Callithrix jacchus: one gene and its partners. The protein of the gene in region 2 interacts with the protein of the main gene of each other region in a pairwise test. Links are inferred from orthologs where the notes say so. Each region holds a gene or a part of one and is shown on either strand. Other genes may lie near its edges. The genes, in order: CDC73, KASH5, RNF146, SENP2, NRIP3, BET1 and BAG5.

Region 1 (4,225 bases), on a different chromosome or scaffold from region 2:
ATTAGGCTCTGGGCTTTATCAATAAAGAAATTCAACCATATCCTTATTGAAGAGGATCCATAAGAGAAAACAATCAAACTGCTCAGAAGAAGCACAGTTACCACCAGTGCTGAATATGAAAGAAATTTACCCTACGGCTCCTGCTAAATAAAACACTGTTGGACAACACCCTTCACATTCTTACAGTGAGCACAGCACTGGATTTCAGAGATATGACTGTCATGACATCCCTCAAATTAGACCAATCATGCAAAACCAAAATCCTACTCTACCTGTGATAAAACAACGTGATATACTAATGGTGCAAGCTCTCTAATGCAGGTCCTACTGTTACCTCATTCCAATCGCACCCTTCCTAACTACACTTGTCCCATCTATATAGCTTTGAATCCATCTGCGTACGGCCCACAGTAATCGGCCCTAAACCTACTTTTCTAGCTAGCTTTAGTCCCGCTTTTCCTCTAAACAGGTGTATTTCGAACCACACACCACTATCAATTATTGTACTATGAAACCCAGTTAACAACTGTATTTTTTCTATTTTCAGAATAGAAGAGAAAAATAAAATGCACTGCGTGCAATAAGAAGAATGATTTTACATGTGTATATATTTACATGTGCATGTGCACATACAGAAAATAAAAATAATTTCTTGATGTGATTCACTGTTGAAAAAGTTTAAAATCTACTGTGCTAAGCATTCCTTTTTCACTGGCTTCACTGAATTGCTGTCAATACATTTACTTTCTAGTTCTCATGCCTTTAACCATACAGTTCACTCATCTTGGAAGACTTAACCCATCATTTTCACCCAGAGAACTCCTATCTACCCTTTAAAGCTTATTTGTCACTCATTCAAGAAAACTTTGTTGGATGTGAACTTGCCAAAGACAACTCTATAGAACTTTCCCTAAATACTTCTAACTAGAAGTGACTGCTGTCTTCATAAGCTATTATAGAAAGCCTTTCACACCAACTTACCTGTTTAAACTCCTGTATTCGGATTAAGTTAACCTCCTTTGAGGTAGAAACCACAACTTAGAAATTTTTTTAATCCTCAGATTGAACCACTTCACATTCTAGGTACTCCTTAGCCATTGTTTAAAGAAAAAAAATTTTCATTAAAAATCCAACCACATGTAATTCTATCTATGCAAATTCTTTGGAAGGGTAAAACACAGAAGCTCTGAATGTCATTTGATCAACATTTTATAAAGCTAATTAAATTGTAAGACCAAAAAAATTAAAAACCAACCAACAGGCCGGGTGCGGTGGCTCAAGCCTGTAATCCCAGCACTTTGGGAAGCCGAGGCGGGCAGATCATTTGAGGTCAGGAGTTCGAGACCAGCCTAACCAACATGGTGAAACCATGTCTCAAACACAAAAATTAGCCGGGCATGGTGGCAGGCGCCTGTAATCTCAGCTAATCCGGAGGCTGAGGCAGGAGAATCACTTGAATTTAGGAGGCGCAGGTTGCAGTGAGCCAAGATTCTACCACTGCACTCCAGCCCGGGCGACAGAGCAAGATTCCCTCTCAAAAATAAATAAATACCAACCAACAAACTAAATTTCTGTAGTTTTTCATCGACTCTTCATAAAGCTTCCATTCAAACAAAATGAGGAGGTTAAGTTCCAGCTCAAGGTTCTAATTACCTAAGTGAAGCACCAATGACAGTGATGTGACATCATTAAAAAGGCCCCTAACGACTGTTAGACCTATCTCTGTAAGTTTTTCTGAATGACTAAAATTGACAAAACTTCACATGGACCGACATTGCAAAGCACTTCCCTTTAAAAACACACTTCCCAAAACACACACTATCAATTTCTTAGATCTGTAAAGCGAACCCCATTTCCCCAGTAACTCTCTGAGAAATTCCTGAAGACCTCTCTCACACAGATTTTAATGACTCGCCCAAATTCACCCAGTTTCTTTCCGATCCTAACTTCAGAGTGGATTGTTTTTTTCTCCTCTACAAGAACAAGCAGCCGTGGCTCCCCACAGTTAGCAACGAAAGGAGAGGAAATAAGCCATGCGTTCCCAGGACCAGAGGAGATAGTTACATGGCAGCCCCGAAGAGAGGGGGAAAGGAAACAAAACAAGTGCCGCCCACGGCAGCAGACGGTCTGCCCCCTGGTGCACCTATGCTCAGGTATCCCTGTGCGCCAGCCCCACACTGCGCGGGCCCACGACACCTACCGCTAAGAATTAACTGTGAAAAGTCCGAAACTCCCACGGTACCTTTCCTCGGGGCTTCGCAAACATTTAAAGGGATGGACGGCTCCAGAGCTCCTCCCCTTCTCTCCTCGCCCTAGAAGTACAACTTCTGCTCTCGAGAGAAACTTTCTCTCCCCGAGCACCCGTTCATCCCATCCCCGGGGGAAACGGGGGGAGGGGTTATCAAAGAGGTCGCCTGGGGGCGCCCAAGTCCGCCCCGCCACCCGCGGGCCGCAGCCACGCCGGACTTACCCCCAAACGACATAGTTGGTCTTCACATTCTTGGGCCAGGAGAACTCCCCGAAGATCACTTCGTCTCCCTTCACCACAATCTCCTTCTTCTGGATGTTGTACTGTCGCAGGACGCTAAGCACGTCCGCCATCTTCCGCCCCCTCGCCGCCGCCGGCCCGGGGCGCCGCCGCTGCCGCCGCGCCTGCCTCCTTCTTTCCCTGTCGCCTCGCCCTCTTCCTCCTCCTCCTTAGCAGCCGCGACGAACCAACAGCAGCAGCACTAACAGCCGTCCTCGCCTACGACAGCAGCAGGGGCAGCAGCCGCCCAGGCCGCCGAGGACCCCGCGCTCTGAGGCAAGGCCCCGCCGCCGGCTGCCCGCGGAGAACGCCTGACTGCGCTCTTCCAGCGCCGCAAGTCCGCCGCCAGGGGGAGCCGCGACCGCCTGGAAAAGGGCCCCTCCCAGACTTCACCTCGGCACGGAGCCCACTCGCTCGCCGAAACCCTGAGCGCCGAAGCACCGCGCCCACGTACGGCGCACGTACGGGGAACACGGTCGGGCGCGTGCGCGCGCAGCACGTACCCAGTTCCCCGCGGCGCGCACCCGGCGGCGACAGGTGCGCGCGTACCTGCGTGGCAGGTCCGCACTTTCATCCTCAGCACGTGCACTGAGTATTTAACCACCGGCCTCGGGTGCGACCAGAGGCTCCCGCGTCCCTGCTTTGGCCGGGTTGGCATTTGGCAAGGATTTGCAGAACACTGGAATTACCCTCCTATCTAGATCGGACCCGGGCCTAGCCAATGACCTCTAGGGCTTAGTGATCCGGAGAAGCCCTTTTGAAAGGGTGGGGCCCTTGGGGTTTGGGTTCGGGTTTATTGTTTGCTTTTGATGTGAAAAATAACGAGTTTGGGGTTTTTATTGGTTTTGAATGGAAAAGACCGAGTCCAGCAAAAAAAAAAAAAAAAAAAAAATTCTGGGCACTGCTGTTTGTTAGTTATTTGACTCTGGTCGAGTGATAGGGCTTCGCAAAGCATCAACTAGTTAATGAAGAAAATGGGCTTAATACAAAGATAAGGTAAACGCGTCTAGCAGGTCAATGAAATATCCTCACTGTTGGATCCTCCTGCTCCATTCTTTGGATGATGACTTTTTTTATCCCAGTCCCTTCACCCTGCCAATCCCCTGGCCTCTCTACTAAAAACACAAAACAATTAGGTGGGCATGGTGGCGCACACCTGCAATCCAGCTGCTTAGGAAGCTGAGGCAGGAGAATCGCTGGCACCTGGGAGATGGAAGCTCCGTGAGCCAAGATCACAGCACTGCACTCCAGCCTGGGCGACAGAGTGAAACTCCACGTTAAAGGAAGAAAAAGAAAATACAATCGTATAAAATGCTCAGTTAAAACCACGAACAAACCGGACGCGGTGGCTCACGCCTATAATCCAAGCATTTTGGGAGGCCGAGGCGGATGGATCACGAGGTCAAGAGATCGAGACCATCCTGGTCAAAAAGGTGAAACCCCGTCTCTACTAAAAATACAAAACTTAGCTGGGCACGGTGGTGTGCACCTGTAGTCCCAGCTACTCAGGAGGATGAGGCAGGAGAATTGCTTGAACCCAGAAGGCGGAGGTTGCGCTGAGCCGAGATCGTGCCATTGTACTCCAGTCTGGGTAACAACAGCGAAACTCCATCTAAAAAAAAAAAAAAACCACGAACAGCTGGGCGCAGTGGCTCAGGCCTGTAATCCCAGGCTGAGGCAGAAGGATTGCTTGAGCCC
Region 2 (3,500 bases):
ACCTTGAGCTCAGGCTGGATCTTCCAGATAACCCCAGCCCCCCACATTCTTTACACCCAACATTAGGCAGCACTTCCCCTTCCCAGATCCCCCACTGGCTACCCAGCCACTGGGCTGACCTGGCTCCCTCACTCCCTGTCACCCCCATAGTCTAGCAGGATCCAGACCTCTCCCTCCTGCCCCTGACTCTCTCTGCTCCACCCCTCCTCTCTGTCTCCACACCCTAGCCCTTGCCTTCTCCTCCTGGACCCTCACCACAGCCTCTTCTCTGGCCTCCCGGCCTCTAGTCCCTCCTCTGCTCACAGCCCTCCCTGGGCCAAGTCTGATGAAGGAGGTTGAAGAGAACTTCCATCCCCACTTTCTTTTTTGTATGTATGGCTGGAGAAATGGAACATGACCACCTTTTCTTTTTTGAGTTGGAGTTTTGCTCTTGTTGCCCATGCTGGAGTGCAATGGCATGATCTTGGCTCACCGCAGCCTCCACCTCCCGGGTTCAAGCGATTCTCCTGCCTCGGCCTCCTGGGTAGCTGGGATTACAGGCATGTGCCACCATGCCTGGCTAATTTTGTATTTTTAGTAGAGACAGGGGTTTCTCCATGTTGGGCAGGCTGGTCTCAAACTCCCAACCTCAGGTGATCCACCTGTCTTGGACTCCCAAAGTGCTGGGATTACAGGCATGAGCCACTGTGCCTGCTCCTCTGCCTTTTTAAAGACAGGGTCCTGCTCTATTGCCCAGGCTAGAGTGCAGTGGTGCAATCACGGCTCACTGCAGCTCTGACCTCCCAAACTCAAGTGATCCTTCTGCCTCAGCATCCTGGCTGGGACTACAGGTGTGTGCCACTGCACTCGGCTAATTTTTAATTTTTAGTAGAGATGGGGTCTCACTATGTTGCCCAGGCTGGTCTCAAACTACTGGGCTCAAATGTTCCTCCCACCTTGGCCTCCCAAAATGCTGGCGTAATCCCAGCATTTTGGGAGGCCAAGGCTCCCTGCGTGAGCCTGTAATCATGACCACTTTTTTATGGAGCACTGCCTCTAAGTGTGAGGTCCTGGGGATATAATGGTGAGCAAACCAACCAAATAAACCCAGGGGCCAGTGGATAACTAAATAATCAGATTTCCTTTGCAGGTAGGTGATCCAGCGGAAAGACCTGCTAGTCCATGAGTGAGCATGGAGCAAGGAACTCTAGCCAGGGGCATCCCAGGGCTTCCCCTTTGCCAGAGGTATGATGGATGAAGGATGGTGTGAAAAGTCGGGCAGGGGGTGGGGATTGAGGAGTGGAGGGGAATAGCCTGAGCAGGGGCCTGTGCTGGGCAGAAGTGAGGCACATTCAAGGTAGGGCAGCAGAGCCAATGTGCCTGAGTGCCTGGACTAGAGTGAGGAGGAGGAGAGGTTAATGATGATGGAGCAGAGGTAGGCAGGGCTTTGTAGGCCTCTCTAATAGGGCTGGTGTGAGGAGGAATTGGAAACTACCCTCTGAAGAAAAAACACCCTAAAAGCTCAGGGAAGGAAGGGATGGAGGACCTAGAAAGCCACACTTACCCAACTAGGTCCCTGGTTCCCACCCTATCCCTTGCTCTGCCCTGGGTGGTAAGTCCCCACACTGTCTGACCCAGGGCCTGCCTGCTTCATTTCTATATATAGAAATCTCACCAGATGGCAGTTGCTGGGAGGTCAGGGCTCCCTCGAAGGCGGTCTCCTCTTCCAGCTCTAATCCCCTGTATCAAAGGGATGAGGCTTACAGCCCCCCTGTAGCCACCCCTCAATCCTCACCAGCCACAGGCAGGGGGATTGCAGGTGGGAGGAGGGGACCAGGTCAGGTAAGAGCTGGCACCACAGGGGAGGATGATGGGGCCAGATGGCCAGTGCCTGCAGCCAGATGGAAAAGCAGGAGGGGCAAGGGCTGGGTTTGGTGAAGGGATGGGGAGGGACTTCTCTGTCAGCCCCCAAGCTCCTCCCTTCTCCAACCCTGTTTTGACTCCCAGGCCCCCTCTGCCTCCTCATCCAAATTATTTTGTCCTCAGACTGACTCTCTATCTACCCTCTCTGAATCCCATCTCTTCATTTTTCTCTCCACAGTCTCATTTCAAACACAGTAGGTCCTTGGGCCTAAAGAATGCTAGCTGCAGTAAGTGGGTATGAGGTTAGATCTTAGGAAGGACTTCCCAGAGGAGGATGAAGGTGTGGGGACTCACCCATGCAGTTGACAGGCAGCAATCCAGTCACGCATCACAACCAGGAAAGTGTCCAAGTCCACGGTGGCCTTAGGGCCCTCTCCATTGGGGTCCAGGCTGTTGGCCAATGTTTGGAGGCGTGCATCCTGGGGACCCTGGCCTGTCACAGCCTCCAGGTAGGCCAGCACCTGGGCCACAGCCACAGTGCCTGGGACAGAGCATGAAGTGAGGGGGTCTGGGGCAGGTGGGGAGTGGTGGGTATGGAATGGCAGCAGCTTGGGAGCAGGATGTCACTGGCTAGGCTGGTGGCACTCCTGCTTCAGGCCCAGTGGAGACACATTGGGCAAGTCCTTTCCCCTCCTCTAAGTCAACTTTTTCACCTGTCCATCACAGGGTGAACCAAAGGGGATGGATATGGAGACAGTACCCCATGCCCCACCCCACCATGGTGGCTGCCTCCCTTCCCCATCCCAAGACCCCAAAACTCTACCCTCCTTCATCAATAGCCCCAGAGTTTTCCTCATTCTAAAAGGCATCCACCCCCTTACTTTCTTCTTCCTGAAGTTGCCCACAGTCATGCACTTTGTTCTTACAATACCCCCAAGAGGCGGCCCTAGCCCGGTTTTCTCTCTGAGGCTCCCCAGTTCCCAGCCTCCATCCCTATCCTGTCCGCACTGGTCCCCAGCACCCCTCCTGCCCCCACCACCTGTCTTGTGAGGATCACAAGCTTCGAATGTGGAGTTGAGTACTTGCTCCTCCAAGTTGAGCGGCGTTCCCAGACTTGCCTCCTCAGGCTGCTTCCAGAGGTACACTGTGGGGACAAGAGGGCCCAGCTCCCCAGTGAGAAGAATGAGGAAGGAAAAGGGGTGACCCCAGGTCTTCAGCCTCCTGGGCTCTGCAGAGGGGAGGGAATTCACTCAGAGCACCTAGAGTTAGGGCTGGTGCGGAACAGCAGGAAGCTTCAGGAGGGGGCAACAATGTGAGGGTCTCTGAGTCACTTCCCCCCATCTTTCAGACTAGGAAGTCCCCTCTGCTATCTTTTTGTGTCCAATTGGCTTAGGAGCCCAGATAAGGATGCTCTGAGATCATCCTCTCCTCCTCACCTCTCCAGCCTCCTAGGCTGGGCTCAGAGAGGGACAGGGCAGGGGAGGGCAAAGAAGAGAGAATTCTGGGAGGAGCTGAGAGTGAAGGGGGCTCAGGAGCCAGGAACAATCCAATAATGCGTGGGCAGCCCAGATCGATCCCGCCTGCCGCATCTCCGGTCTCCCAGCCCACCCTGGGGACCAGGGCTCTCTCCTCCCTGCATCCCCAAGGCAAGGCTGGCA
Region 3 (4,261 bases), on a different chromosome or scaffold from region 2:
ATAAATGAAAGGAATTAAATATGGGTTTGAACAAGAAAAGATGCAGCCATTTTCTTAAATACAAAGACCCTGGGTATGAGTGAGAAACAGTTGTAGTTGACATCTTACTGTCTGTGCCTGGATTCAAATCTCAGCTGTGTGCTTCTTTCTGTAAAATGAGAATAACAATAGTGCCTACCTCATAGTTTATTAGGAGAATTAAATGGGTATATATAAATAAAGCACAACACCTGGCACATAGCTAATTAATAATAGCATTATTTCTTCAAGTTGGAATCTTTGGGTACATTATCAAATTTTAGCTATTCTGTGTTCATGGGCTGTGTAGGATAGAGGGATAAAACTGAGTGGCTAATAAGAAGATGAAGATAGAAAACTAAGCTTAAAGGACATACACTTCAATATTTCTATATGTACAGAACTTGTAAGAAAAGCAGTTTTGCATACATGAGCAAGCATCACTGAACTAGATGGCACCTTTCAAGAGACTGGTTTACATATTGAGATATGAGAATGAGAACCCTGAAATAAACTGATTCAGAGGAATAACAGAAAACATATAAATTTCTATACATATAAGGTCGCTGAAAACTTCCCATCCTGAATGAAACATTTAATGAAATCCCAAAACGCAACACTATTGCAAATAAGACACTGTCATAAAATTTTGAAATACATACGCTTTTAAAGATAAAAGGCCTGCTCTTCCACCCTCTTCATTTTCCTACAAATTAGGAAAATTTAATCAGTTCTGAAAAAGGAAATGTACATGCGAAAATGGTGAATACTGCTAGAGTTCTGATGTTTTAAACCACAGGCTTGCGATCAAAATAACCTCTTTAATTTTAGATTCTCATGCAGATTAATTTCTTTCTCCAGTTTTTCAAGCACTATTCTGTTTTTTTTTTTTAAAAAAAGGAGGGGTTCAAAGGGAAAGTAATATCCATGCTTTTCCCGATTAAATTGCTCAACCATTAAAAAGGTGAATAAATTAGAAAGCCCTAGAATACTCTACCCCCTCGGTCCGCCCCCCACCACCCTTTTTTATTTCTTGAAAGGGAAAAGCAGTTCTTTTGCCAGGGGATCTTCAAGCCGAAACTCGGCTAGGCACCCCAGGGCTTCTCCCGGATCGCAAAACTGGATTTCTGCGCAGCACCACCTGCAGTTCCTACACGCGTTTTACTTCCTCCACCCCAAATCTGCTTGCTGGAGCTGCATTCTTTCAGAGCCTCTGGCCCCTAATACAAACAAAGTACACTCTAAAGCAGCCAGAAGGATCCAAGCAGCGAAGTCGCGGATCCCCACAGGCAGGAGAGTGCAGGCAGGCAGCGGCGCGAAACCGGGACGGAACGAAGAGACGCCGGAGCGAGCCCGCGGGTGCGCGGCGCGGCTTCCGCCCCGCGCGGCCCCGCCCCCGCGACGCGCCGGGTGGTCACGTGAGGGCCGCGCGCGTCCCCGGCCGCTGCGGGCTCAGAGGCCGGAGAGAAAAAGACTGCGAGGTGTCCGCTGCTGTGGCCAGAGAGGTGGCAGTCGGAGCGAGGCCCTGTCGGGGGAGCAGGGAGAACTCCGGCCACTCCAGGACCCTCACTGGGGGAGAGGAAGCATAGCTCGCGGTGTCACCTTCAGCCGCGACGTACTCCGGGTCGGCCTTGCGCTCGGGGCCTGAGAGGGGCGGCGGCGGGGTCAGGGGCCGGTACGTAGATGGACGCCCTTGGGCTGGCGCGGCCGCGGCTGCCCGCGCAGAGGCGGGATGGGACAGCTCAGCCTTTTCCGCCACCCCAGCCTTGGCTGCGGTCGCAGGCTAGACGGCCGTGACAGCCCCTGTGCTGCCCGAGGGCGCCGCAGACCCTGCCCTGGGTGACGGCCTGAGCTGGTCTCGGTCGGGGTGCGAGGGGCGGAGCAGCGGCCATTACTGCGCAGCCTCTTCCGCCGGAGCCCGCGTCGGTGCCTCGGGTAGCAGGCGGGTCCCTCTCCTCCCCCTGGGCCGTGGTGTCAGGCCTCTACGCGGGGACCTTCTGGCCTCGAGGTGTAGGGGCGGCGATGGTTTTTTGGCAGTAGCCTGCTCCCTGTTTCCCGTGTGGGGTCAGACACTTTGGGCCTTGGGTCAGATCGAAGCCAGGGCGTACAGTCTGCATTTTGTCTTTTCCCGGAGTGTCTCTGGCTGCTGCTTTCTCTGCTCTTTCTCTTCCTCCTTTTTCTCCTCCTGCTCAGTGTCTCGGTCTTGCCTAATACGAAGAGAGCATTCCTGCACCTTGTCCTAGTGAAGCCCCGCATTGCATATTCTTAGCTGTTTTGACGGCTGTTAAAGCATCGGAACAATTAAGAGGTCTCAGAATGTCCCTTGAGCCTCCAGACCCTCTGTACATCTTAAAAGCCGAGGCTGTTGCTTTGTTCTGGTTGTTGGGTGGGGAGTTCTCTTCCTACCCTCCATCCAGTCTGAAGGAGTGCGGGTCTTCCATTGTTGTCGCTATTTATTTTTCAAAGGCTTCTAAAGAATGTAAAATTATTTTTAAGAATGTGGAGAGGGAACCGTCCTCTCCACAGGACTGTAAGTTTACACACACATCCTGGCAACAAGAATCTTTTCTCGTTCATCATTTTGGTATACGTTTTAATTTAAGTGCCGTTTTAGTGAGCACTTATTTCTCAAGTTTTGAACATTTTAAGTGATATTTTTGTAATATTGAAACAATGTACAACTGAGGAGAGAAGAAAGCCAAAAGATGATGGGGAACGCTTTGTTCTTTGTATGATTGACATTTCAGGTGCTGGGCACATCACCCCCACCCCGTGTGTGTACTTTTCAAATGGGATGTGAACGTATAATATTGGCATTCAATGCAGTATATAATTATAAATCTGGAAGACTTAGGACATTTTAGTCAGTGAATCTATATTTAGACTTTTAAGACATGGCACGTAAGGACACATGAAGAAAATATCCCACACAAATAACAGGATTTGTGATTGTGCCTTTGCTGTTTTATGACTAGCAAATACTGTTTTTGTGGACTGTCTTGGTGCCCTAAAAACACATGAAAATAGGTCAAGTAAATCTCATTTTAAAGAGAAAACTGGAAGAGTGAATGCCACTCTAAAAATAGATTTTGGATGTGTTTGTTTTGGTGCCTTGTATATTTTAAAGTGGAGGATGTTGTTCAGCCCAATCTTTCATTTACAATTTGTGTCTCAAATGGGCCAGTGTATGCTGTGGGCAGAATGGAAATACATTTAGTTTTTCTTTTCTTCGATGGTTGTTCAGAACTTGGTAGAATTATAATCATCAGGAAAACTTTGTCCAAATAGCTGGTCTTTAGACAAGAGGAAGAAAAAACAATTAACTGTTTTGTAAAGGCGATGTCCACTTGCAAAGTGTTTTGTTTCAGTCTCCACCAACTTACATTGTCAGAAGAAAGGAACAGACATTTTTTTTTAAAAGGATCCAAAACGATATTTTGAGTTAGAAGAAAAGGATATTAAATTTTCTGTTTTCACAATATCTATCTGTTTAAAGAATATTATTTTATGTGCTAGCCATATACTAGCATGAAACGTCTAACAGCACTGTCAGTTGGGAATTCGAATGTGTATTTTTCTTCGGTGTTAGTAATAAAAGGTACTGAGCCTTTTCCATTCTCTTACCTGGTTCCCTTGTGCCTGAGGAGTCTCAATTTGTGAAAACAACAGGCTGGATCGGGAACAATCTTTTTGGGTATAGAAACCAATTTATTTAACACTTGGCTACAACCACCTGTGCTTACTTATGAACTATCTTTAGTTTTCATGGCTTATTACCTTTTGGGTTAATTTAAATCCAAAATGGTTGTTAACTGACTGCTAATTAAAGCATTTAGAACGTAAAATATAAAGTAGGACGAGATAACAAAACACTGGGGGTTATGACTTGACCAAAGTCACACAGATAATTTGCCAAAGAGCCTTTCTTATTTATGAAATGGTTGCTGGCTAAGAAACATCTGTGTTTGATATTATTAAAAGATTTGTTCACTTTTATATCTCATGTTTTGAAATAAAATGCAAAGCCCACTTTTTTGTTGTTGTTTTGAGAAAAATTGAAGGGTTTAAAGCGCTAGTATAAAGATTGTGAGGTCAATAAGTAGATTGCCACATAGTAACGTTTTTAAAGGGAAATATTCTTTAAAGTATCAGACCCCATTTAGTTGCAGTGAGTTTTGTTGAAGTTTTCGAGTATGACCTATGCTTTTTCTTAGCTCATTTTTAGCAGGTGATGATGAGGGCT
Region 4 (4,288 bases), on a different chromosome or scaffold from region 2:
TTTTTTTTTTTTTTGAGACGGAGTTTCGCTGTTGTTACCCAGACTGGAGTACAATGGCACAATCTCGGCTCTCCGAAACCTCTGCCTTCTGGGTTCAAGCAATTCCCCTGCCTCAGCCTCCTGAGTAGCTGGGACTATAGGCGTGCACCACCATGCCCAGCTAATTTTTGCTTTAGTAGAGACGGGGTTTCACCTTGTTGACCAGGATGGTCTCGATCTCTTGACCGTGTGATCCACCCGCCTCGGCCTCTCAAAGCGCTGGGATTATAGCCGTGAGCCACCGCGCCCAGCCTAGAAAGCCATCTTTTACTTTAGGTGACAGTATTAACATGAACAGCCTTAAAAGATATTTTTTTTTAATTTTTGTTTTTTCTTTTGTGTGTGTAAGGGAGTTAAAAAAAAAAAAAAAAAAACTGTTCTACAAGGCCAGGCACAGTGGCTCACGCCTGTAATCCCAGCACTTTGGGAGGCCTAGGCAGGTGGATCACCTGAGATCGGAAGTTCAAGACCAGCCTGGCCAATGTAGTGAAACACGCCCCCCCCATGCCACCCCACCCCCATCTGTACTAAAAATACCAAAAATTAGCCAGGCATAGTGGTGGGCACCTGTAATCCCAGCTACTCGGGAAGCTGAAACAGGAGAATTGCTTGAACCTGGGAGGCAGAGGCTGCAGTGAGCCTAGATCACGCCATTGCACTCCATCCTAGGCAACAAGAATGAAACTCCGTCTCAAAAAACAAACAAACAACAACAAAAAAAACCTGTTCTACAACTTAAAAGAGAGAAATCTGAATCAGAAAAAGGTGTTTAATAACTTTTATCATGCAAACTACATTGCATTATGGTGGTAATAAAGAACTTCGGAATTGAGGAAAGTTTCAGGATCCAGATGTCAAGAATGTTAAAGGCTCACAGCATATTACTCATCGTCTCTCTGAACACCTATCATCTATTATATTCACACACATACACACACACACACAAAATGAGAAGAATGAGATCCCAGGATTCCACTCAGCTCATACCTTTATACATTCCAACAAGCCTCCTGGTTTCATTTTGACTGAAAATTGGTTTACACTGAAAATTGGATTAAGGATGTGAACACACTTAACATGTAGTAAAAATCAAGGTTTTGATCTCCAAACCATGTTCCCCAGACTAGAAGGGACTCACATCAAAAAGAGGACAAGGGAAAGGGAATTAACTTTCTGTTATTTGATAAATATGTACCTAGTGCTTATCATGCACCAGAGTCTGCAAAAGACCCCGGGGTAGAATAAACAAACACTACCCTTATATACATTGAGCATCAGTTTAAGCACTTTACAACAAGTTCTCAAATGAACCTTACATCAACACCACAGAAAGATAGGAGAGAAAAATAAGGCAATGTATTCCAGAGATGCAGTTTAAGCAACAACCAATTTCATTAATAACCTGCATTCTCAGACTAACGTATTAGACATCTTGTCCTCGCAAGCTTCCACAAATCACCACTTCTTTCACTTTTCTTGATATTGAGGCTTAATTTTTAAAAAATGAAATTAACACTTGATCACTGAACTTGGGGAGGGGGCAGAATTTGTATGTTATTTTCTAGATTAATTTCTAGGCAAGGAGGTCAGTCGATTCGATAAAATGGGACGCTCCAAAGAGCAGATGCTAAATAAGAACAGCTTTTGGGGCGGGGCACGGCGGCTCATGCCTGCAGTCCCAGCACTTTGAGAGGCTGGGGTGGACAAATCACTTTAGGTCAGGAGTTCAAGACCAGCCTGGGCAAGGTGGTGAAACCCATCTCTACCAAAAATACAAAAATTAGCCAGGCGTGGTGGCACACGCCTGTAATCCCAGCTACTCAGGAGGCTGAGGCAGGAGAATCATTTGAACCTAGGAGGCGGGGGTTGCAGTGAGCCGAGATCGCGCCACTGCACGCCAGCCTGGCGACAGAGCAAGACTCCGTCTCAACCAAAAAAAAAAAAAAAGAAAAGAAAAAGAAAACTGCTTTGAGTTTCCCCCAAATTTTAACTTAATTTAAGAGGACAGACTAGTGACTGTTTTAAAGTAATAAGGCACGTAGCCCTTTTTTCTCATTCACTAATTCTAAAACACAAAACCCTTCTGGCCCCAAACACAGACTGTTTGACAGCTGTTTCAGAACAAAACAGCTGCTGTTTCTCGCTTCAAGGACAGTGGTTGCAGTCAAAACGGCTTTGGGCAATGTATGACTCTCACTTCCTTTAAATGCACTTAATGACCGCAGATGACACTTGGGAGGCTGCTTTGTGAGCAGTGAGCCACAACAAAGGCAGTATTCCTTCAATGTTGGTGTTCAGCCTAGCGCGGCAAAGCCCCATTAGTTATCGGCAACCAGCGTGGCCTCTGACAAGAACGTCAACGACCCTGCCATCATCTGCCGCTCCGAAGACGACCAGGAGCTGCCTCCCCACGGCGTGGCGGGGGCGGCTACGTCACTCGGACCCCGGTGACCCGCCTCAGGTGAGCCTGGCTGAATCAAAGCATCTCAGCCGCCGAGGAGGCCGCTGTGGGGGAGGGGGGAGGGCCAGGCCGCTGCTCAGCCCCCTCTGGTCTCACCTGTTTGAGCGCCGCCTCTTCAGGAGGGCCCGGGCAGGGGGCACCGACTTGTCGCAGAAACGGAAAATGGTGCCGAGAATCCTAACCAGCCATCTGTACATACCAGGCCCGAGCAGCAGCGGCGGCCGACACACCCCGAGACGCAAACCCCAGAGCTGTCGCCGCCGCTGCCGCCTTCGCCGTCTCAGCCACCACAGCCGGAGTTCGGTCGCTGATTTGTGACGCGATTTAAGGGCCCACAGATAGAGCGTCCCCAGGGCTACCCGAGGCCCCCGCCCGCCACCGCTCCTGACGTTACCTCCTCCCGCCCAACCGGAAAACTTCATTCTCAATCTGCGCACGCGCAACCTGGCAGCGCCCCCTATTTCCGAGCCCAGCAACAAGAATAAGTGTGGGACGGCCCCGGCCCAATCGCTGACGAGATCGGAAGGGCTGTGGGCAGAGTTTTCTCTTCGGCGGAGCCAATTCCGAGCCGGCCCGTGGGACAAGGCCCACAGGCCACACGTGAGGCTGCTCCACCGAGGAGAAGGCGTTCCGGGGTTCCAGAGGACATTTGGTGCTCAAGTGTTTGCACACGTAAAGGTGGATCAGGTTAATTAACACATGTTTACCGTTTTAGGAGCCATTTATTTTTTTTATTTTTTAAAAAAATTTTTTTTGAGACGGAGTTTCGCTCTTGTTACCCAGGCTGGAGTTCAATGGCGCGATCTCCGCGCACCGCAACCTCCGCCTCCTGGGTTCAGGCAATTCTCCTGCCTCAGCCTCCTGAGTAGCTGGGATTACAGGCACGCGCCACCGTGCCCAGCTAATTTGTTGTATTTTTAGTAGAGACGGGGTTTCACCATGTTGACCAGGATGGTCTCGATCTGTTGACCTCGTGATCCACCCACCTCGGCCTCCCAAAGTGCTAGGACTACAGGCTTGAGCCACCGCGCCCGGCCAAGAGCCGTTTATTTTGTACTTACCTTTTGCCTCGTACTTTACACGCATTGTCACCTTAATGTCGCCCAGCAACCGCATATGACAGAGAGTTTTATGCCAACTTTATAAGTCAAGGAAATTGGGGCATAGAGCGATTAAGTTATTTGCCTAAGATCACAAAACTAACTAGAGACGTAGCTGGAACTTGAACCCGGGGGCTGAGTACAAGCCCTTAAGGTCAGTCTACTTGGAGACGTGTACATAGATAATTACAAATTACAATACAGCATAAGTGGTTACTGTGATAAAGGTATGTGCAGAGTGCAGTGGGAGCCAGAGAAAGGAAAAGCACACACTGAAGGAGAGAAGGAAAGGGCAGATGTCAAGAAAGGCTTCACAGAAATTTAAGGGTGAAACCTGCCGGCCATTAATGTCTCCTACCCTGGGCTGGTAAGGAATGAGTCTCATTACCCTCCCTCTACAATCCCAAAGTCGTACTTCTAGTTAATTGCCTACTATAGGTCGGGAGAGGTGGCTCCTGCCTTAATCCCAGCACTTTGGGAGGCCGAGGTGGGCAGATCGCTTGAGCCCAGAAGTTTGAGACCAGCCTGTGCAACATAGTAAAACCCTGTCTCTACAAAAAATACAAAAATTAGCTGGGTGTGGTGGTATGCACCTGTAGTCCCAGCTACTTGGTAGGCTGAGGTGAGAGGGCTGCCCGAGCCCAGGAGGTAGAGGCTGCAGTGAGTCGAGATCACACCACTACACTCC
Region 5 (4,250 bases), on a different chromosome or scaffold from region 2:
ATTCTAAAAGGGCTGGCAAGTTGGTATCAAGCAGTGAACATTACAGAAACAGCATAGTAAGAGGTAGATAATTCAGAAATCCCAGCAGCATAATTCAAATATAGGTTACTAGTATGACAACCTACCATCTTCACAAACCCAAGTCAGTTACAACTAATTTTTCCTCTCTCCCTTATCTCCCTTTGGTGCTATCCCATCCCTTTTCTTGGACCCATTATGTCAAGATTATACTATAAACTACTTCAACTAAGAACTATTCAATTAATTTTCCCATCCTCCAAATTTCCCTTGCAGTGAGAGAAAATGGAGTCAACACTGGTCTATCCCAGATGTATTTATAAAGTAAAACTATAAGAATGTACTTCATAGAAAATGATTTTTGAAGTTAATTTACATATAAAAAGAAAAAAGAAAAATAAATGCACTTCTGAGATCACTTCTAAGATTGTACTGAGGCTGCAACAACAGGTCGGAGAGTTTAAGCATGCTGCCTCACTCCAGCGCTTGCAGCTCTCCTAGCCCTACCTCAGTCTGCCTTGGTTTCTGTAACCTGGCTGTTCTGTGCAATCACTTGCACATCATAGGTGTGAAAACAGTGAGAGGGAAATCAACTCCACGACGATGGGGTACAGAAAGCATGAAGCATGATTCAGAGCCTCACAGTCAACTGGCATGTGTGAGTGTGTGTCATACTCACGGCAATATCCTACTTCTTGAGGCTCCTTCCTTTTTGCAGCCTACTGCCTGTGCTCTATGCTATCAGCCTTTCATGACTCAACTGAGACAGACTGGAGTCAGAAAAGTGGATGGAATTCTTACACAGCATTAAGTAGTCTTATAAGAAATCCTAGACGGAAGGAAGCTCAGGTAGTTCTCAGAACCAGGAAACTCCTTGACAACCCGGGACAACCAAATTCCAGCATTAAAAAAATTCCGTATTTTAAATCATCTCTTAATTTAATACTTCCTTCTTTATTGGCTTTATTGATTGCTGAGCATTCTAGGAACTAGGAGAGGATTACTTGGCCTGAAGGAAATAATACTTCTTGAACCTGATTTGTTCAAGATTTGATCTAGATTTGAATCTAGATCGCTTTAAAGTGAAGGAAGGGAGAAAGAGAGTTATCTCTTTCACAGGAGCACATTTCAATCACTTATCACTCTGGGTTAGCATAAATCAGATAAACTATCCTTTGGCTTGTGCAAAACACACACACACACACAACTTTTAAAAAACAGAGCAAGATAACTGAAGTAGACAAACCCTGCACAGAAGTAACTAATGGTGGCAGGGAGGAGACAGATGATATTGGTACCTGTGTGTCATTAGAGCTGTTAGATTAAAAAAAAAAAAAAAATGGATGCAGAAGCTCTGCCCTCCTGGCACCAGAAATGGCAATTTCGTGAACTAGGGCCAACAACCACATCCAAAACTAAACATTTCAAAAGCTTAACATAAAAAAAAATACTAGGAAAATTAGGCAGAGCACCTATTTCATTTGTTAAAGACATTTAATTAGTGTTTTATACATTACCACACAAATGCATAAAGCGATTGAGAAATTCAAAAAAACAATCAAACTACAAGAAAACTCCAGATAAAACTATAAAGCTAAACATAAACTTGGCTCAGGACCACGACAGTGGCTGAGGGATGACAAGATACAGTTCTTTATATCGGTAATCCTTAGCCATCCATCCCATTCTATAGAAAGAAGACAGTACCATCTTTGACCCCTGTCCTGGGCTGCTTCTACTTAATGCCAAGAACAGCCATACTAGAGGGGAAAAAAAGAAAAACCAAAACACTGCACCCACCCCAGCTCCAAATGCACACATGAGCTGATCGGTGAGATGGAGCAGCCTGGCTTCCTCTGTCTACCCACTCCTTGGGGGCGGGGCTGGAAGAGAAGAAAATGATGAAGAGATGTTGGGGGTTCAGGAAACCTTCACATTCGACCCCTTTTCTCTCTCCCCACTCAGGATGGAAGATCAAAGGCAGACAGGACCAAAACTAGAGAAGTAGATTTTGCCTAGGGGGACAATGGACTCAACAAAACCTCTGGATCTGGCAACTGTCAAAAAAAAAAAAACAAAACAAAAAACAAAAAAAACCCTTTCCACTTCTGTCTCTCCTCACACAGCCATTAGGAATCACCTCTGTCTTGGTCATAGGACCAGACACCTAGCGTGTGAGGCACAAGCCCCATGAACAAAATTCAGGGTATTAAGAATAAGGGGAGAGAAAGAAGACCTGAGGGAAGGAGGGAAGGGCAGGAGGGCAGGGCAGGGCAGGGTCTCTTCCTTCTACTGGAGAGGAGAGAGACACCCAGGGAGGAGGCACAGCCGAGGGGAGCGCTAGAAAAGCCACGACGGAATCCCCACCGAGACCGCAGCAGGGGTGCTGGAAGGGGAGGAATCCGAGACCCAGCGAGAGTCAGCCAGGGACAGCGGCGGGCCGGGCCGTGACTCAGTGAAAGCCGCAGCGGCAGGGCCTCGGGAGACCGCGGGCGCGAAGCCGCCGGGGCCCGGGCCGGGGCCGGGGAGCTCACCGTGTCCTTGGACGAGCCCAGCTTCTTCAGGCCGTCCAGGGGCAGCAGGTCGGCGGAGTCCTTGTGGATAAACTGCACCGCCTGCTTCATCCGGCGCTGCTGTCGCAGCGACGCCGCCTCCCGCATGTCGGTCTCCTTGCGGCCACCCTCGGTGAGGAGCCCTGAGTAAAACATCGCTGAGGCGCCTGCGGCCCAGCGGCCGGGTCGCCCGCGGTTCCCCTGCAGCCTCAGCCTCGAGCTCCTTCAGCACCGCAAGGGCCGCGCGCCGCGCCTTTTATAGCCGAGCGTGACGGCGCGGGGAGCAGCCAGTGCGCGCGCGGGGGGCGGGGCCGGCACAGCATCCACGCCCCGCGCGGCTCCCGGACTTCCCCCGTACCCTGTTCAGGTCGGCGCTTCCCAGCCCACGGCAAAGAGAGCGAGGAGGGGGCGGCGCTGGCAGGACCAACCTGGAGGGCCGAGAGTCCAAAGCGGCCGCTTCGTCCAACCGCCTCCTCCCGCATAGAAGCCCCGCATCCCCTGGACGGCCGTGGGCTCTGGGGTCCGATGCCCTGGCAGCCCCGGCCACCTCCGCCTCTGGCCGCGGGTCCCTGCTCACCTGTCCACGCTGTGGCAGACCCGGGGATCACCGACAGCCGGGCCATGCCTCGATTCCCGCCGCCCGCGCCGCTGCTCGGCCTCTCAGAAGCACACCTGCACGCCGCCAGAAGGGGCTCCAGCGCCCACCGCCTGGGCCAGGAGGACTGGCGACTCCCTCCGAAGTTGGGAGTGCTCGGAATTTCTCCAACTTCAAGTCGGTCCCCACCCACCGGGCCACGTGACTGGGGAGGGGGCAGCCGCTGCGGGCGTGTGGAGGAGTCTGTCGGGACCTCCTAGCCCGAACACCCTCTGCCTGCAGCCCGGCACCTGGCCCGCGTTCCCGAGCCGGGGAAGCAGGTGCGGTTCCCTACACCTGCTCTCCGAACGGAAAAGCACCTTTATCAACAAGTGCTAGGGCTTACCGTCTGAAGGATCTTTCACCATCTCTCCAGCGTCCTTAGTAGGAGCAATTGGAACCCGTTTTTTTTCCCCTGAATAATCCATACTTTTAATCCATTCTAATCGGGCCTTCAGGCCTCCTGGATTCTGGTCTCGACGCTGTGATTTAATACAAACCACGTTTCCACTCTGGAAACCACAACTACCCTCTTCGCCCCATCACACAGGAGCAGACCTGGATAAGAAATATGTGCACTCTGCAAAGAACCATTGAGAAAAGTAACAATATCGATGCTTACTGAGCCTTCACTATGTGCCAGGTACTGAAATAAACACTTAAAATGCAGTGTCTCATTGAATCCTGGCAACAGCTTGTAAGATAGTATTCTCATTACCCCCATTTTACAGGCAAATACCCGATACCTTCTGTCTGGCCTCCTGAATGCTCCTGGTTCCATTCCAATCCGGTGTTCACTGTGCTGCTGGAGTAATTTTCTCAAACGACAACTGTGATCGTCTCACTTCCCTGCTAAGAGTACCTCAAAAGGCTTCCTACTGCTCTTAGGAGAAACCCACATTTTTGCATGGTCTGCCTAGACCCTGTGTATCCACTCTGCACTTCAGCCTCAAGCCTTCTTCCAGTTCCTTTCAGTCACCTTTGCCAAATGACCTGCCTTTGACTGTCCTGTTCCTTCTGCGTGTAGTGCCCCCTCCTACCCTCTT
Region 6 (4,282 bases), on a different chromosome or scaffold from region 2:
TGTTTATTGTACAAAAATATGTTAATGCACATTTCTCCTATTAAAGAGTTGATGTTCTCTCAAATTATGAGCCACCCCAAATACAATGGACAAAAAAACAAAAACAAATAAAATGCTAGAATTGCTATTCTGAACAGAGCCACTTCTCTTCTGGCGGTATACTGCTATGAAAGGTGTAAAAAAGCTAGCGGGTACTGAAGATCATACACAGCCTTTGTTAGTTTAGAAAAATGATTCTTCTTTTGGATAGGTTCTATCAGTAAGCTAACAGAACCATTTAGAGACACATATGAATGTGACAGCTTCTGCCTATGAATATCTATCAGATTCACTACAATCCCAAATTTAAAATTTCAGATCAATATACATTGATACTTAAAAACATGAAAAGAAGTGCAGGCGCAGTGGCTCATGTCTGTAAACCCAGCACTTTGGGAGGCCAATGTGGGTGGATCACCTGAGGTCAGGAGTTCGAGACCAGCCTGACCAACATGGCGAAACCCCGTCTACTAAAAAATACAAAAATTAATCAGGTGTGGTCGTGCACACCTGTAATCCCAAGTACTTGAGAGGCTGAGGCAGGAGAATTGCTTGAACCTGGGAGGTGGAGACTGCAGTGAGCTGCGATTGCAACACTGCACTCCAGCCTGGGCAACAGAGGGAGACTCTGTCTCAAAAAGAAGAAAGAAAAGAAAAAAAAGATAGAAAAGAAGGAAGGGAGGGAGGGAGGAAGAGAGGGAGGGAGGGAGGGAGGGAGGGAAAAGAAAAGAAAAAAATGTGTAAAAAAAGCCTTTGTCACTTCACATCAATATAAATTATAGCAATAGCAGTTACCTAAGTAATCACCTCTCCTCTCAATCACAGGAGAGCGCTTTAAAAAAAAAAAGGAGTATGGGGTAGTGGGCTCTAAATTAGTGAGATTCTAATTTAACTGGCTGAGCTGAGGTCCAGGTAACAATAAGTTTAAAACTTCCCGGGGCTGAGAACCATTTCTCAAGTCATTTTCCTGCAATTTAACATGGCATACTACAACAGAAAAATACTCCAAAGGGCCTAGAGGCCTACTGATGAAATCCAAACTCTTTGGCCATGAAATCCACTCTTCAGCCTCACATGCAAAGATCTCCACAGTGTGATCCTTCATCCCCTACTTCAACCAAACTGGCTTAGTCATAATCCCTTACTTTTTTGAGTTCCCATTTGGAACTCACTTCCCCCACTCTCCATTATTCAAGGTCTACTTCAAATTCCTAAGTCTCCACAAGATACACAAGGATCTTCTCCACAAAGTATACAGTGATCTATATCTGAAGCCTCTGAGACCATCACTTATATGCAGAACTTATCTGGTATTTGGATATATAGCAACTACTTTGTACTATAAGTTATCTTTGCACATATTCCTACTCCACACCTAGACTGGAAGCTTTGGGGAGCACAAAGAGGGCAGCAAACAACTGTAAACCTAGAGCTTACTCAGGCACACAATAAATCCTTTTTTATCATTAATGATGATGAACAAGAAAAACATTTAGGTATATAAAACTAAACTTGCTGAAAATTATTTTTTTTTCTCTTCAATGTACCTGGCCCTACATTCTTTCTATGATCCAAGTAGTCATAAAAACTTCATTAAAAAAAACTTTCTCATACTACAATTTATTAATCGATAACAAGTCTATAGTTATTGGCAACTTTCATTGACTTTAAATATCTGACACTTTTTGGAATTTTTTTTTTTTAAATCTTATAATGACTGAGATAGATAACATTATCTTTTTGCAAATGTTTCATTTATTTTCTGAAGTATACAGCACTCTAATGTAGCAGTCTTATTAGAAAAAAAAATACTGTCCTAAGAGAAAGCTTCAGAACCAGAAAACGCTGCTCTAATAGCTGTATGTTACTATAGAGGACCATTAAAATTCCTTGTGCCTAACTTATTCTTGCTGGTGAGCCAGCTTCCTAAACCCCAAGGTCAAGATCAAATGTTAAGATACCAAACCTTACTACATTCTACTGCCTTAATCATGGCACAAGGTTCAGATAAGAAATCGCCTTTCACCCAGATGTTACAGTTCCAGGACCTTTAACAGTAATGACACGTACATTTACCTTTGTAACTCACTGTTACCAGATTAACGACCATTATCAGTGTGCTTTGCGTGCAACTACCCACTCTTCAAATTCCGCTTCTGAAGAAACAAAGATCCAGGGCCAGTAGAGAAACAGAAACCGAAGTCGGGCTTTGTAAAACACACCAGTGTCCATAACCAAGCTCAGTCAATAACACTAAAACACTCGACCACTGAGATGTCACCTGTACACACCCACCCCAGTCCAATGCTTTCTCTAGCCTACCATCCAAACTTGAATCTGACTCAAACTTAAGGAAACTCCTAGGATCTGGGACAAATGGTGTGTTTCCACTCGACAAGGCCCAAAAGATACCCTCTAAAGATCCTGCTTTTTGGACCAAATGCCAAGAACAAAAGATAGCTCCGATTTGCTCCCGCGCCCCCGCGCTCCCGCGCCCAGCATGGCCGGTTCTAGGGCCCCGAACTTCGAACCTCGGCCCTCTTCTTACCCAGGCCTGCGCGCCTCATCCTGCCAGAGGAGAGAGGAAAAAGGCGGGCGCGGGGGGTTAGGTGGGTAGGAAAGAGCTAGGGGTGACCCGAACCGCGTCTTCAGTACCAGGGCCCCGCGGAACACCAACTTCTTCCAGCAAAGCGCCACGACAGCTGTAGATTCTAAACACCGAGCCGACTGATGGCGTCACTAGGGCGCTCATTGGAGCCCTGGGAAGAAGCCTGAATGGCATTCTGGGAAATGTAGTTCACTGACGCAGAACGTGTCGCAGGTGGCGTGGTGTGAACCCGGTTCCAGGAGCGGACGGGGCTCCGGAAAAGGGGGCGGCTTCGGCTGCGGCTCTAACTCTGGGTTTCTTATCCAACATCCCCGCTGCTTGTCTCGCGGCCCTCCGGGTCGCTGCTTTCAGTTTATTGACCACCAAGTTTAACTTAACAGATCTCCTCCTCCGGGCCCACAAGAGGTTGATTGGGATAACTTTCCTGATTGAGCCTTGTACTCTCTCTTACCTCCAGAGGTAGTGCAGGGAAAGTTAGAGAAGACTTTGTCCACGTTTCTCAGTTTACAAACAAGTAATCCAACATCCACAGAAGTAACAGATTTTGTACCTCATGTATCCAGTAAAGGAGAGAAAACCAGGTTCCTTGGAGTAAGACTCCTGCTCAGATGGGAGCAGCCCAGGAAAAGCGTGGGGTCTCATAGGAGACACTGAATAGTTCCGTTACTGTTACTGCATCTGTTGTATTTGAGGAACCAAGACTTTTAGTTGTTATAGGGAACAAAGGACCCCTAAATTCCCTCCCACTTAACTTTTTTTTTTTTTTAACTTACGCAAATGTTATTGAAATACTGCTTACACAAGGCATTGAGCCAGTTTGGGGGTTTAAAAGCTTGTTGGCGAGTGAAGATGTTGCTGGTATCAGGGTTAATCCTAGAATTTCATTTTGTCTCACCGGATTATTTATCATGAGAATACGGTAATCATGGTTTTCGGAGAAAGAAAAATCTGATACACAGTAGGTAATCAAAATCCACTGGGTATCTCCAGTTTTGTTGTTGCTGCCATATGTATGGTAGTGGAATCGTCTCCACTCCACAAATACGTGATCTCTGATCATTTAGTATTTTCTCATAGTTTCCCAAGACATTATTAACCTTGACCATAATAGTGGCACAAGTCTCTGCATTAAGTTGTTTTTGTATAAAACACATGAAAACTACTTTTAATGAGAGTTATTAACCTGAGAAGGAAGACTTATTCAATAAGGTTTCCATAGGAAAAAAAATCTTCGTTAAAATTAAAACGCCATTTTCTAAAAGCAATGGAATTAAATGAGGATAAAATCAGGGACAATTACAAATAAAAGATGGAGATTCAGTAATAGATGATAGCTAGATATCCCATTACAACTTTTAATCTATGTCCTTTGTTTGATTAAAAAATGCATGTTTTATAATGAAACATGTTTAAAAATTGTCCTAATGAAGGCTTGCTGATAGAAAATGTAGAAATTGTCATTTTTGAAAATCAGTTAATATTTACCAAAACTAATCATTTGAATTACCTAAAATATATTCTTCCTTTACATGGTAGGAAGACATAAGAATGAAATGTAGTTAAAAGGAAAAAATATATGTAATGTACTAAGAATATAACTGAAGTAAGGCAAAGCTAGTTCATATTGAGCTTGTT
Region 7 (4,074 bases), on a different chromosome or scaffold from region 2:
GAGAATATTCTGGGCAAGCTTCACAGCCTGTTTCCGGGCAGCCTTACACTTCTCCTCTCCCTGCGGGTCGACAGCATCCAGGGCCAGCAGCTGCTTGGTGAGCAGCTCTTCCAGCCGGATGTAGTTCTTATCGGTTCGATTCCCATCAAACGAAAGCACTTCTCCCTGGATCTCGGACAAGTTTCCAAGGACGTTCCAGACGGCTTTATGGGATGGGTGCTCCTCACAAGCAATCAGCTTTCTTTTCTCAAGGGCCTCCTTCAAGTCAATGTACGTGATCAGAGTTTGCACTTCTATCACTGCTCTTCTCCTGGCCTCTCGGATGCAGGGGTTCTTTTCAAGACTTACCTCATCCAACTGTCCAATCAAACCCTGCAATTCTGTTTTGGAGCTCAGATACAACTCAGGGGGGTTCTGCGCTTGGAGGAGTTCATTTTTTATTTCTCTCATTCTCTTGAGGACCTTTTCTATTTTTAAAATGGAATGATTCTGCCTCAGGTCAAATGCTCTAGTAGTGTCTGCTTCCTCTTCTAAATCCAGGTATTTCAATAATTTGTTAATATCTTCCACTACCTCCCTCCGGTAATTTCTGATTTCTGTCCGGCCGCACACATCCAGAGCATCCAGGTCGGCCATCAGCCCGGACAGCACACAGGATAAGTGCCTGCAGGTCTCGCTGCTGTTCACACCCATCAGAAGCGCAATCAGGACCCCTCGGGCCTTGTTCACCTCACACATCACAGAGTTGATTTTGGCAACAGAAGGGTGTGCATCCTCAGACAGCGGCAGGGAAGGCTGCTTTTTCATGCAGTCTTCGATAATCTCTTGCACTGCACAGATTTTGGTTAAAGTGTGATACCTTGCTTTCCGCAAGGAGATCTTTCCTCCAGTTTTAACATGTGTCAGCCTCAGAATGATGTCCTGGATGCCTTCTTCGAACTCATCAGTTATGCAGTTGCCGCCATTATAAAATGGCACAATTTTCTCTCTCACAAGGGACTGGGCTTCCTCAAAAATGCTCTGTATTTCAATCCTGTGTGGGTGGTTTGCATTCTGCTCCAGCTCTTTGAGAAGACGTTCCGTCTCCTGTGCCGCCCTCTTCCTGGCTTGCTGAATATCTCCTTTTCCTTCAGTATCTACAGAGTCTATTTCAAAAAGTTGTTTTGTGAGAATCCGCTCCAGTTTCTTGTAATTCTTGTCATCGGACAGACCACTGAAGCCGACGACTTGCTGTTCTACACTTTTTACTTCCTTTTGGATTTCCTGAAGCCTGCTAATAGAAGGATGTTGGTTTCCCATATCCATACTTTTGTGGTGGTCAGTTTCACAAGCACTAAAAGATGACAAGAATAACTTATTACAGCACAAAGCTTCTGCAGAACATGAATGATATATTAAGACACTAAAATTCTCATTTAAACAGGTATACTGTCATCCCACTTCAGCCTCCCCAGCGGCTGGGGTTACAGTCGCACATCACCACGCCCAGCTAACGTTACCACTTTTAGGAAAGGCACGTCTCACTATATTGCCCAGGCTGTCTGAGACAATCCGCCCGCCTCCGCCTCCCAGAGTGCTGGGATTACAGGTGTGAGTCACTGCACCCGGCACAAACTCTGTTTTTGGAACCAGCAAGGCACCTTTGTGCAACGTGAAGCAGTAGCTCTTGTAACCTGCCAAACATTAACAGCACCCCGCCCCCGCCAAACAGCTATGCCTTAGTTTCCAGAAACTCTAAGCCAAAGACACTGAACCACTAGAACCAAAACCAGGGGCTCTCAGCCATCCCCAAGGTTCCCGCTTCGTGGTTTCTCTCCTCGCCTCTGTGCTCCTCCCTGCCCCACCCTTTTAGCTCCTCACATATCTGCCCTCACAGGTGTCTCCCTGAAGAGCTAAAAACCCCACAGGTCAAGAAGAGCGACGGGGACTGCGCTGAAGGCGCCATCTTGGGCCTTGGAAGCCCAGAACCTCCTCAGCCCCTACCATGCTCCATTCTCTCAAAAAAAACACGACCCGCGAACACGTGGTAATTATGAATAATTCATTCACTCGCTTCCCACTGAGAGTCCACAGTGGCTCAGTACCTGTTTCAAGCTATTGGTTTCTACCAAACGGCGTGCTCGAGGTGGGCAACCGACGGAAAAGCCTCCACCCCCTGTGGGTGTCCTGACGGCCACGGAGGGCAGGCCGCCGGCGCTCCTTCCTCCCCGCCTCGCCCTTCCCTCTTGGCCCTTTACCCAGAAGAGACCTGAGCTGGCTGCAGTCTTGGCGTCCCGTGGTTGAGGTGGGAGGTGGAAGACCAGCCCTTCTCGGGGTGCTGCACCGGAGCTGGGCCCCCAGCTGCATCCCTCGCGCCCCTCCCGACTAGGTCCGAGCCGGGCAGCGGTGAAGGCGCCGCCACTTTACTGCTGCAGCAGCTGCCCCGGGCGTCTCGGCCCGGGTGCCAGGGCGCGCCCGCCGGCCCTGACCTCACAATGGGCGCGCGAGGGGCGCTCGGCCCGGCCGGGTAGAGCCTGGCAAGGAGGGCAGCCGAGGCCCCGCCGGAGACACCAGAGACCAGACCTGGCCTGCCCCGACCCGCGTCAGACCCAGGGGCGGGGACGACACCGGGTCCCGCCCGGTCCTGCCTGTGCCAACAGGCCACGCGGGGGTGGGCGCCGGGACAGGGGTGGCCGGGTGGGGAGCCCCGCGCCGATGTGAGGCTACACTCGTCCCCGCGACGGAGGGAAAAGGCCACACGCCGCACTTTGCTTACCTGTCCCGCCCGCGCCATCGCGCGACGCGCCGCCGACGCCTCCGCGACTTCCGCAGCCCCGGCCGTCGCTCGGGCCCGCCAGCCCCGCCCCGGGCCGAACAACCCCAAACCCGGGGACACCTCCGGCGTCCGCTCCTAGCCGCCGACAGCACCACGCCCACCGCCAGCGCGCAGCGAGGCAGCCTGGAGTGGCCGCGACCAAGGAGCGGCCGGTCGGGTTAGCCTGCTTCGCCTGTCGACCCCGCAGCCGTCGCACCGCAGGGAAAGTGCACGATCGGCCGCGTCGCCGCGCTCCCTCGGGCTTCGCGACCCTGCCGTAAAACGGTCCCTCGCGTCGTCGCAATGCTGCCGTGCGCCGCGGGAGCCAGGCGCCGTGGGGCCATGGTGGCCTTGCGGGCGGGAAAGAAGCGCCTTCTCCTTCCTCTCTGCCGCGCCTTCGCCCGCCGCGGTTGTCAGCTCGCTCCCGAGCACGGCGCCGAGCGCAGGGATGCGGCTCCCAGCGGGGTAAGCTGGCGCCTGGGGACGTTGGGCCCGGAGGGGCGGCCCCAAGGCTCTCGCGTCCACGCCCTCAGTCCGATGGGACCAAGGGTGCCGCCGCCCCGTCGGGGACTGTTGACAGCCAGAAGCTTTAAGCATAACAGAGTCACCTGCCAAGTTTGTGCCTACCTTATTTATTCCTGAGAATTAATTTTTTAATTTGAGACAGGGTTTTGCTTTTGTTGCCCAGGCTAGAGTGCAGTGTCGCGATCTTGGCTCACTGTAGTCTCCGCCTCCCGGGTTCAAGCGATTCTCCTGCTTCAGCCTCCCGCGTAGCTGGCGTTACCGGCACCCACAGGCACCCACAACCACGTCTGGCTAACTTTTGTATTTCTAGTAGAGACGGGGTTTCACCATGTTGGCCAGGCTGGTCTCGAACTCCTGACCTCTGGTGGTCTGCCCGCCTCGGCCTCCCAAAGTGCTGGGATTACAGGCGTGAGCCACCGTGCCCGGCCGGATAGTTGTTCTTATTTGCACACTGTGTGTGGGTATATGCATGTTACCGGCCAAAGATTCGCAAAGAATGTCTGTAGCAAGAAAGAGTGACAAGCAATTTTCTTTTTTTTTTTTTTTTTTTGAGATGGAGTCTTGCTCTGTCGCCCAGGCTGCAATGCAGTGGTACCATCTCGGCTCACTGCAACCTCCACCTCCAGGGTTCAAGCGATTCTCCTGCTTCAGGCTTCCGTGTAGCTGGGAATACAGGCACCCACCATCTCACTCAGCTAATTTTTGTATTTTTAGTAGAGACGGGGTTTTACCATCTTGGCCAGGATGGTCTCGAT

What was found.
Region 1: the proteins of KASH5 (region 2) and CDC73 interact in binary tests that used the Homo sapiens proteins (3 or more experiments, as listed by UniProt). The two-hybrid records come from large-scale screens. The link is inferred for Callithrix jacchus from reciprocal best matches to the Homo sapiens genes KASH5 and CDC73.
Region 3: the proteins of KASH5 (region 2) and RNF146 interact in binary tests that used the Homo sapiens proteins (3 or more experiments, as listed by UniProt). The two-hybrid records come from large-scale screens. The link is inferred for Callithrix jacchus from reciprocal best matches to the Homo sapiens genes KASH5 and RNF146.
Region 4: the proteins of KASH5 (region 2) and SENP2 interact in binary tests that used the Homo sapiens proteins (3 or more experiments, as listed by UniProt). The two-hybrid records come from large-scale screens. The link is inferred for Callithrix jacchus from reciprocal best matches to the Homo sapiens genes KASH5 and SENP2.
Region 5: the proteins of KASH5 (region 2) and NRIP3 interact in binary tests that used the Homo sapiens proteins (3 or more experiments, as listed by UniProt). The two-hybrid records come from large-scale screens. The link is inferred for Callithrix jacchus from reciprocal best matches to the Homo sapiens genes KASH5 and NRIP3.
Region 6: the proteins of KASH5 (region 2) and BET1 interact in binary tests that used the Homo sapiens proteins (3 or more experiments, as listed by UniProt). The two-hybrid records come from large-scale screens. The link is inferred for Callithrix jacchus from reciprocal best matches to the Homo sapiens genes KASH5 and BET1.
Region 7: the proteins of KASH5 (region 2) and BAG5 interact in binary tests that used the Homo sapiens proteins (3 or more experiments, as listed by UniProt). The two-hybrid records come from large-scale screens. The link is inferred for Callithrix jacchus from reciprocal best matches to the Homo sapiens genes KASH5 and BAG5.

Annotation. Positions count from the first base shown.
Region 1 is NC_133519.1:50,305,204-50,309,428, reverse strand, and holds the start of CDC73 (parafibromin), read right to left. Parts: upstream 2,801-4,225; 5' UTR 2,602-2,800; coding exon 2,471-2,601; intron 2,379-2,470; exon of another isoform or gene 2,243-2,378; intron 1-2,242.
Region 2 is NC_133523.1:43,158,454-43,161,953, reverse strand, and holds part of KASH5 (protein KASH5), read right to left. Parts: intron 2,987-3,500; coding exon 2,882-2,986; intron 2,384-2,881; coding exon 2,197-2,383; intron 1,720-2,196; coding exon 1,655-1,719; intron 1-1,654. UniProt on the Homo sapiens protein: As a component of the LINC (LInker of Nucleoskeleton and Cytoskeleton) complex, involved in the connection between the nuclear lamina and the cytoskeleton.
Region 3 is NC_133505.1:133,838,641-133,842,901, forward strand, and holds the start of RNF146 (E3 ubiquitin-protein ligase RNF146), read left to right. Parts: upstream 1-1,461; 5' UTR 1,462-1,693; intron 1,694-4,261. UniProt on the Homo sapiens protein: E3 ubiquitin-protein ligase that specifically binds poly-ADP-ribosylated (PARsylated) proteins and mediates their ubiquitination and subsequent degradation. May regulate many important biological processes, such as cell survival and DNA damage response.
Region 4 is NC_133516.1:14,535,634-14,539,921, reverse strand, and holds the start of SENP2 (sentrin-specific protease 2), read right to left. Parts: upstream 2,801-4,288; 5' UTR 2,698-2,800; coding exon 2,597-2,697; intron 1-2,596. UniProt on the Homo sapiens protein: Protease that catalyzes two essential functions in the SUMO pathway.
Region 5 is NC_133511.1:74,880,337-74,884,586, forward strand, and holds the start of NRIP3 (nuclear receptor-interacting protein 3), read right to left. Parts: upstream 2,801-4,250; 5' UTR 2,727-2,800; coding exon 2,553-2,726; intron 1-2,552.
Region 6 is NC_133512.1:55,613,280-55,617,561, reverse strand, and holds the start of BET1 (BET1 homolog), read right to left. Parts: upstream 2,801-4,282; 5' UTR 2,792-2,800; coding exon 2,695-2,791; exon of another isoform or gene 2,607-2,694; coding exon of another isoform or gene 2,588-2,606; intron 1-2,587. UniProt on the Homo sapiens protein: Required for vesicular transport from the ER to the Golgi complex. Functions as a SNARE involved in the docking process of ER-derived vesicles with the cis-Golgi membrane.
Region 7 is NC_133509.1:138,390,412-138,394,485, forward strand, and holds the start of BAG5 (BAG family molecular chaperone regulator 5), read right to left. Parts: upstream 2,801-4,074; 5' UTR 2,347-2,800; coding exon 2,249-2,346; exon of another isoform or gene 2,054-2,248; intron 1,334-2,053; coding exon 1-1,333. Other genes in the region: COA8 (cytochrome c oxidase assembly factor 8), read left to right, coding at 3,137-3,259. UniProt on the Homo sapiens protein: Co-chaperone for HSP/HSP70 proteins. It functions as a nucleotide-exchange factor promoting the release of ADP from HSP70, thereby activating HSP70-mediated protein refolding.